2 linked regions of the Callithrix jacchus genome follow. The protein of the gene in region 1 interacts with the protein of each later gene in a biochemical or structural test. Links are inferred from orthologs where the notes say so. Each region holds a gene or a part of one and is shown in the gene's direction. Other genes may lie near its edges. The genes, in order: PSRC1 and ASB7.

Evidence for each region.
Region 2: of the proteins of PSRC1 (region 1) and ASB7, one has a biochemical effect on the other in vitro, tested with the Homo sapiens proteins (2 studies listed by BioGRID, with this or other methods). The link is inferred for Callithrix jacchus from reciprocal best matches to the Homo sapiens genes PSRC1 and ASB7.

The regions. Positions count from the first base shown.
Region 1 is NC_133508.1:147,161,427-147,165,905, reverse strand, and holds the start of PSRC1 (proline/serine-rich coiled-coil protein 1), read left to right. Parts: upstream 1-1,460; 5' UTR 1,461-1,871; coding exon 1,872-1,890; intron 1,891-1,981; coding exon 1,982-2,039; intron 2,040-2,502; coding exon 2,503-2,944; intron 2,945-3,314; coding exon 3,315-3,429; intron 3,430-3,519; coding exon 3,520-3,789; intron 3,790-4,076; coding exon 4,077-4,170; intron 4,171-4,413; coding exon 4,414-4,417; 3' UTR 4,418-4,479. UniProt on the Homo sapiens protein: Required for normal progression through mitosis. Required for normal congress of chromosomes at the metaphase plate, and for normal rate of chromosomal segregation during anaphase. Plays a role in the regulation of mitotic spindle dynamics.
Region 2 is NC_133507.1:9,369,422-9,373,723, reverse strand, and holds the start of ASB7 (ankyrin repeat and SOCS box protein 7), read left to right. Parts: upstream 1-1,406; 5' UTR 1,407-1,848; intron 1,849-2,022; 5' UTR 2,023-2,121; intron 2,122-4,302. UniProt on the Homo sapiens protein: Probable substrate-recognition component of a SCF-like ECS (Elongin-Cullin-SOCS-box protein) E3 ubiquitin-protein ligase complex which mediates the ubiquitination and subsequent proteasomal degradation of target proteins.

The DNA.
Region 1 (4,479 bases):
CAGAAAGGGGTCAGGATCCAGACCCCAAGAGAGGGTTATTGGCCCTTGCACAAGAAATAATTCAGGGCAAGTCCATAAAGTGAAAGCAAGTTTATTAAGAAAGAAAACAGTATCTACTCCCTAGGCAGAGTAGCCCCGAGGGCTGCTGGTTGCCCATTTTTATGGTTGTTTCTTGATTATCTGCTAAATAAGGGATGGTTTATTCATGCCTTCTCTTTGTAGACTTTATAGGGTAATATCGACGTTGTGATGCCATTTGTAAACTGTAATGGCGCCAGTGGGTGTGCAGCAGTGAGAATGACTAGAGGTCACTCTCATCGCCATCGCCATCTTGGTTTTGGTGGGTTTTAGTCAGCTTCTTTACTGCAACCCGTTTCATCAGCAGAGACTTTGTGACCTGTATCTTGTGCCAACCTCCTATCTTATCCTGTGACTGAGAATGCCTAACCTCCTGGGAATGCAGCCCAGTAGGTCTCAGCCTTATTTTACCCAGCCCCTATTCAAGATGGAGTCGCTCTGGTTCGAAGTCTCTGACAAGTTCACTGGTGGCACAGGCCCCTTTTAGCAACAACAGAGACAACACTCCTAACAAGCTGGCTTAAGCATTTTACAAACACAGCTTTTATTTCAGAGGGGGCTACTTACAAACGCCCCCTCTAAATTCCTTAAGGGCACACAGTAGAAAACATCTTCATGATTATCCTAACATCCATCTTAACTGCGAGGATCACCATCCTCTTTTCACGAAAAGAGGGCAGATATATACTCAAGGCAGACTCTCTAAAGCGAAACTGGGGTTTTGAGGTCAGTTAAACTTGGGTTGAATTTGAACCCAAGCCTGTCTGGGTGAAAAGCCCGTTGCTTTCTTTACACCTCGGCTGCGTCAGGTTCTTAAAGAGGCGATGGAGGATGTACTTCTTAGAGAACCCCAATATGTCTACAATGTAAGTGTTCAGGTGCTTCCTTAACTTGGAAAAAACCACAACTGACGACCCCGGGCCAACGCGGCGCCTGCATATTGAGTGCGCCCAAGAAAACTAATTTCCTCCCGCCGAGCGTCGGTTTAAGCAGCACAATCGCTCTGGAGACTGGAGGCTCCGTGGCCCAGCAGCAAGAGGAGGGCGGGGCGCGAGGGCCACACTCGTGGGTCCGTTATTCCCCTCCCGGCCAGCCGCGCCCGGCTCCCACCTGCCAGCGGGAAAGAGGGTCTCCAGGTACGCCAGCACGCGCACTCCGGGCCTCAACCCTAGGCTCCGCCTCAGCCTCCGGGATTGGAGTCTTCTGGGAACGGTTCTCCTCCGGCCCCCACCCGCGGACTTCCTGCCGGCAGCTCCACAGCCCCGCCCCCTGAAGATCCACCAATCACGGTGCGTGTATGGCTTGAGTGGGTGGGGCCTGAGAGATTCGAAAGGAGCCCCGCCCCCTCGGAGCAGATTCCCGGGACTAGGTTGCTGGGGGAAGACTCTTGCGTGGAAGACAAGGCGGCGCGGGAAGTGGAAACAGGGTGTGCTGGAGGTGTGCTTTGCGTGTGGTGTCAGGGAAGTGGAAACGTGGCTTGGGGGGTGAAGAACCCTGAGGATAGTGGCGGGGAGGAAGATGGGGCGTTCAGAACCTCCCAGTGAGGAGAGAACAGGGTGAGGGGCGGCTCCAGGGCAATCTGGGCGGTGGGGGGAGCCCTCCGCACTTTACCCGGAGATAGCAGGGGTAGTTACGCGGCAGGTGCCACTCCTGGGTGCTTGCTTTGCCTCCAGCATGACCTGTGCCGCTGGCGTGAATATAGCTGCAATCCCTGGGCAGGATGGATACCTCAGGAAAGGTATGGTTTCTCTCCAGCTCAGGTCTAAGTGGACTTTCGCTCCTGCTGGCTGAACATGGAGGATTTGGAGGAAGGTAAGGAAAGGAGGGAGGGAGGAGTGAGACCCAGTAATGGAGAGCTGCATCAGGGACCCATGACTGGCCTTCATTCTTCTTTCCCCTTCAGATGTAAAATTTATTGTGGATGAGACCTTGGACTTTGGGGGGCTGTCACCATCCGACAGGTACCAGCCTCTTTGTGCCACTTACTTTCCTCTAACAGCACTTCTTTGTCTCTGTCCCTTTACTGCTGAGTTACTGGCCTCTGGAACTTGGGTTGGCAATTTAGCAAGGTTTCGTGCACTCGGGGCCGCTGGGTGGCTGGTTGACTCGGGCCTCTATGACACTATTGGTAGTGGGGAGAGAAGCGAGAAGCTGGAGTTAGATTTCAGGGTGTTAAGAAGGGTAAGTGGATTTGCTGCATCTCCATCCTGGCATCATTTCTGGTGTCAGTAAATGCGAAAGGCCTATTAGGCCCCATAGAACCAGGTATCTCATCACCCAGAGGCCACATCTCACAAGCAGCACGGGCATCAGGGCATGGGGTTGTGTCCCTGGCTCTGTTGTGGGGCTTTTGCCCAGTCTACCTTGCGTAGTCTTCTGCTGTCTTTTGCATGGGCATGATGCCTGGTTCGTTTCCTGTCCCAGCCGTGAGGAGGAAGACGTAACAGTGTTGGTGACTCCAGAGAAACCACTTCGACGGGGCCTCTCGCACCGAAGTGACCCAAATACAGTGGCTTCTGCTCCCCAGGATGTGAGGTTCAGCCTAGGCCCCCTCAGCCCAGAGAAGCTGGAGGAGATCCTCGATGAGGCCAACCGGCTGGCCGCCCAGCTGGAGCGGTGTGCCCTGCAGGAGCGGGAGAGCACGGGCGAGGGCCTGGGGCCTCGCCGAGTGAAGCCCAGTCCTCGGCGGGAGACCTTTGTGCTCAAGGACAGTCCTGTCCGAGACCTGCTGCCCACTGTGAACTCTTTGGCTCGGAGCACCCCCTCCCCAAGCAGCCTGACGCCTCGACTCCGGAGCAGTGATAGGAAGGGGTCAGTCAGGGTTCTTCGGGCAACGCCTGGAAAGAGGCCCTCCAACATGAAGAGGGTGAGTTGAGAGGACCGAGTTGGAGGTGCGCCCCAGACATAGCGCATGCCATGATGCAGGCAGAGAATGGTTTCCTTACTGGTAAAATGGGGATAGTATTTCTTCATCTAGAATTGTTGGAATTAAATGAGAACCATAAACAAAGAGAACAAAAACTCTTATCATAGTTTCTGAGTATAAGCCCTGTAATGTCTATAATAAACTCCATTAATGGTATTGGCAATAGTGATGGTGACGGTGATGTTAGCAAACATCTACCCTTCCTTACTGGGATCTAAACAACGCTCCACCTCTAGTTCTTAATTCCTTAAGCCACAGAACAGATATTTTCTCCACTCTAGTCTTTTTTTCCTCTCTCTTTGTGTTTCAGGAGTCACCCACTTGCAGTCTGTTCCCTGCATCCAAAAGCCCAGCATCTTCTCCTCTTACCCGATCGACGCCCCCAGGCCAAGGGAAAGCTGGGCCCAGTGGGAGAGCAGCAGCTAGTGAGGAGACCTGAGCAGCCAAGTTGCGGGTGGGTGGGAGTGGGGAGTTTGTGGGACTGACTCTGAAATTTCTCTACTCCTCTCCACCAGGTCCACCTACCCCCATCAGACCCGTCCTGGCCCCACAGCCTTCTACCAGTAACTCTCAACGCCTGCCCCGGCCACAGGGAGCAGCTGCTAAATCTTCCAGTCAACTGCCCATTCCCTCGGCCATCCCCAGACCTGCCAGCCGAATGCCACTCACCAGCCGGAGTGTACCACCTGGCAGAGGTGCCCTACCTCCGGATTCTCTGTCAACTCGAAAAGGGCTTCCAAGACCAAGCGCCGCAGGACACAGAGTGAAGGAAAGTGGACACAAGGGTAAGAGATCAGAAGGAGGAATACCTGCCCTTGCCCGGCATGTCCTCACTCTCCCAGAGCTGGCAACAGTGACCACTTTTGCCATCCTCATTGCAATTCAGTTGGAAGATGGGGAGGCTGAGTTACAGAGAGGATATGGGGCTGGACAGAGTCTAAGTCTTAGTTTCCAAATACATCATGGTTGAGGGGAGAGCACTAATCCCACACTCACTCCCTTCATCCAGTATTCCTTTTTGAGGTCAATTAAACTTGCTGCTAACTTATTTCCTTTGTTAACTCCCATGAAGTTCCTGTTTCCCAGCGACTAAATCTTCCTGTCATGGGTGCCACTCGCAGCAATGTGCAGCCCCCCAGGAAAGTGGCAGTCCCAGGACTTACCAGGTCAGTCTGGTCCTCCCTTGTCCGTCCTGTCTCCCTACCCCGCCATCATCTGGGATCCTAAACTGTTATACACATTAGCCCTAAATTTTGCATGGAAAGATTGAGAGAGGAGGGAAGCTGGGGGCAGGGAAAGCGGGGGGGGTCCCATTTCTTCCCACCCTGAGGAGCTTGAACTCTGCTGGGTGACAAATGGGCTCGAGGAAGGACGGCATTTTAAAGCAGTTCTTCCTTCTGTCTCTTTAGGTAAAGAGGTCAGGACAGCAAGCAAGACTTCAGTAGTAAACCACTACCGTCAGTACCTGGACTCGC
Region 2 (4,302 bases), on another chromosome or scaffold:
TCTGTTGCTTATGAAATAATTCCTAAAACTTGGTAATTTATAAAGAAAAATAATTTATCGTCTACAGTATTGGAGGCTGGGAACTCTCAAGACTGACAGACCACACCTGGTGTCAGGAGGCAGCACTGCAAAGTATCGTGTGATCAGAGGCTGAGCAGGCTCATTATCAGGTCTCTCCTCATAAAGCCACCAGTTCTACCTCCATGATAATCCATTAATAGATGAATCCCCTCATGAAGACAGAACCCTCATGATCCAACCACCTCTTAAAGACTCTACCCCTCAGTACTGCCACACTGGGGATTACACGTGAGTTCGGAGGGAACAGATATTCACACCATAGCACTACCTATCTAATATGCTATAGCCCATCACGTCCTGGTCAAAATCGATCCCACCATTCTGCTTGATTTTCCTCATATAACCCATCCCTATCTCATAATTTTGTGTTTGTCTCCCCGGAAATCACGATCTTGTTCATTGTTGTCTCCTCAAGGAGTAGAACACGGGCCAGGAAAACACTTGCGAGATGAATAAATGCGCTTAATAAACGTGTCATGATCAGTCTATCTCGCATTTTCCCCACGCCCCCTCTCCATTCATTTTCAGGAACCCGCCAACGTTGCTATCCCTTCAGGGAAGCCCTTGGACCGGCGTCGCCATCCCAAAGAGAGTCCCTTCTCCCACTCTAGGCGAGGGATTCCCAGCCTGGAAGCTAACGGGGTCTCAGGGACAGACAGACGCGCCAAGGACCGGGCACTTGCGTCTGACAAGCGCTGAGCGGGAGCAGAGAAAGAGGCACCCCTCTCTTCGCTTCTTTGAGCCTGCCGCCCTCCCAACCTTAAGCCCTGGACCAGGCCCTCATTTGGCTGCACTCACGCCTCCCCGGCCGCCGAGCTCAGCGGCTGCTCCGGGTTACCTGCCTGGGATCTGGCTCAGACAAACTCTCTTCACACCGCCATTCGAGAGAACACACCAGCCCTCTCTGGGCCACCGTAGTTCACAGAAAGTACACGCTGATCCCTCCTCCCGCATGCGCAGAGACCGCGTTCGGCGTACAGTGTCTCTTAGCAACCGTTTTGAGTCCCTCGTCAGGGGCGGAGCCTCGGAAGCCACCACAGGGAGGCCGTGGGGGTAAGTGAATGGACCAATCGGAGACGAGCCTCAGTCCCGGTCGGCACGTCTCCCTTAACTGTCGCGAATGCAGGGGCAGCTTTACGGCAGGCAGAAGGTGGGGGCTGCTGGGGGTAAGGAGGAGAGAGGGAAGCAACCAACCAACTAAGTCGCCCCCACTCCCCCCACCCCCACCCACCCCGGACCTGGTTTACGGCTCCAGGCTCAGGATCCACTGCGGCCGCTGATTGGTTGCTGAAGGCTTGGTCCCATCCCAGTGACCCCAAAGTGCTGGAGGGAGGGGGCGGGGGTGGCCCAGTGCAAAGTGCATCCCGAAAGCCCCCTGTCCGGAGACCCCACGGCTGGCACTTCGGACCTCGTATGACCTAGGACCTTGCTGTCCCGAGACCTCCTGGGTCCTTCCGTAGCTGGAAGCCTCCGGCCCGGAGCGCGGCAGCCCTTAGTTCCGAGCCCTGGACCGGGACTGCCCCCCCCACCGGAGCCGGGACTTCCTCCCTGCCTCCCTACACCCCTGCCCCGAGGCTGCCCGGAGGCCGGGACCGCCACCTCCTGCCTGCTCGGCTGTTTGGATGCTCGCCGGGCTGGGGCCGTGAAGCACCGAGGAGGATCTGGAACACCAGGGTCCGGCCCTGCCTTGGGTATTTCTTCAATGGAGAAGTTGGTGAGTGTGGAGGAGGCTAAAAGGAGGAAGAGAAGCAGCAGCTGAGGAGACAGGTAAAGTCAGATACCTCCCCCAAGGGGAAGAGAGCTGGCTGGGAGGGAAGAAAATATCTGCTTTTTCTTGCCTGCCCTTGCCACTCTCCAGTCGCTTTCCTGAGCTCCCCCTTCTTCAGAGCCCCCTCCTCACCCCTGAGACACTGCACCACTTACTGGTTTCTGTTTTTCTAGGTTTGAGCTGGCTGAAGAAGACGCGAAAGCAGGAAGGGGTCTACCCACTTACCAGGGAAGCAGAAGGGACATTGCCTCTGATCAGCATCGTCTATATAGGTAATGAGCCAGCCTTCCCCTCCCCCATTGTTTATTCCTGGCCCCTACCTCATTAGGCAGTGCTTTATTTTCAGGGTGGTTGCCTGGGAATGCAACCTTTCCTAACCCAACCCCTCCCTCAGTTTCCCAGGAAAAGCAAAAACATTACTCGTGCCTGATCTTTAACATTTTATAACTAATCTGCCCCAGGAACGTATTTTCCCACTTTCTCTCTGTGCAGTGTTTCGGTGTTTTGCGTTGTCTTTTGGTACACTGTGCCATTTACTTTGCTCTGAGACTTTGAGACCTTTTTATAGCTACCCCCCTTCCTTACTCTCATAGGAATTCCTCAATTCTTTGTTAATTGCTTGTTAATTCTGAATGACTCTCCCTTTTAATTAAACCATAATTTACTGTTTCCCCCCCTTACTTTTTCCTATCACCTTTCTTCTACCTGCATCAGAAAAATCTTTTGAGTTAGGGAGTTGACAATGATTTGGTAGAGGAAGGTAAATTAATGGCTTGAGATTTATGAGTGTCAGAAAATTGATTTTATTTCCTGCTAAAAAGCGAACCTGTGTGCCTTAAGAGTGTGAATGGTATAAAGGCAACCTTATTACCCTGAAGCATTTAAGTGTAATTAACTCTTTTGGCTTTTTGTGTTTTTGTGTGTCACAAAGTGGCTGGGCTTTGAAACTTGTAAGTTACACCTCAGATTTTCTAGAAGAACTTTAAAAAGTTTACACAATATCTTATTGATCGTCTGACTCTCACGGATTTAAAAACAAAGGAACCTTTTGGTGTGTTTACATATCTGGCTCTTAATTTTAGCATTCTATAAGAAAAGATTTCTCATTTCAAAACCCTTACATAGAGTTTGCTAGGTTGAAGTTTAAGCATCTAATTCATGTGATCACATTTCTGCTGCCATATTTTGTTGCTGCTTCTGAAAATGCACTGAAGGTAAGCTTAGGACATTAGTGTAATTCCTAAAGAGGGAATATAAGCGTGGAAATTATACAAAGTTTAACTCCAAAATTAGCCAAATGAATGACTTTTCTAACATCCAGTAGCAAAAGTATAAAGTGATGTGTTAATCTATTTTAATATCCCAGATTGTTTAGGGAATTTTTGTTACAGGGAAGTACTTAAAATAGCAGAAATGAATATTTTTGTTTTCCTATGTTCCTCTGGACTTTCTGCCCTCCACAAAAAGAAATTAGTATCTTTACTGATTTTGTTAATTCTCAAGACATAGCTAAAGATGCTTTTAAGGGGATCTGAGGTATACGTATTCTTGAGACAGGGAACTGGATGCCAAAAGAAGAGATTCTACAGAACAGGATTTAGAATCAATATGTACCAGTTACCGTTCCCTGGTGAAAACTTAGGGCAGCCTTTGTATGTGTATGTAGGGAATCGGGAGTACTTGACTACATCATTTCAGTAAAAGCTAGGCAGAAACCTTTAAAGGCTAATTTTATTATGTAAGTATGGAAGTTGCCAGGGAGATGGCCTAATGATTACTTCAGAACTTCTAAAAAATGCTAAAATATTTGAAGTATGTTTTAAAGATAAAAAATCAAGTACTGTGTTTTGTATTCAAGCCTCTCAGTTAAATATTTTTTTCTGCTTTAGATTTAACTCTAGGATGGTTTCATTTTTAAGGGGTGGTTTCACCTGAGATGGTAAGGGAGGGAGTCTGTGGCTAGTCCAGCATATAAGGTAAGAGAGGATGAGGCTTTACCCTGGCTCTCAGCCAGTTCATTCTCGTTGCTTAAATGGTATTTCGTGGATCATCTCATCTTTTAATGGTTTTTCTAAAATGAGAGAATATATATAAATCATCAGCATCTGTAATGTTTCTAATATTAGAATGATTGAGAGTGTTTGTTCTAGATTATGCCAGACATTTACAATATTGAATTTGGGTATTTACCAACACGACTAGTTAGGTAGCTTACATTTTTTAATCTGGCAGTTAGCTTTTGTTGATTCTGTTGCCAATTATGTGGTTTAAAAAGAAAATCCAATTTATTTGGTCACCAAATACAGATTTATAATCACGTAGGGAGAATAATTGATTTTAATTGAAGATATTCAATGATGCATCTTTAGTATACCGAGGCCAGTACTTATATTCTTTATACATAAAGTGATGTCATTTACAATTATTTAATACTGTGACACATACAGTATCTC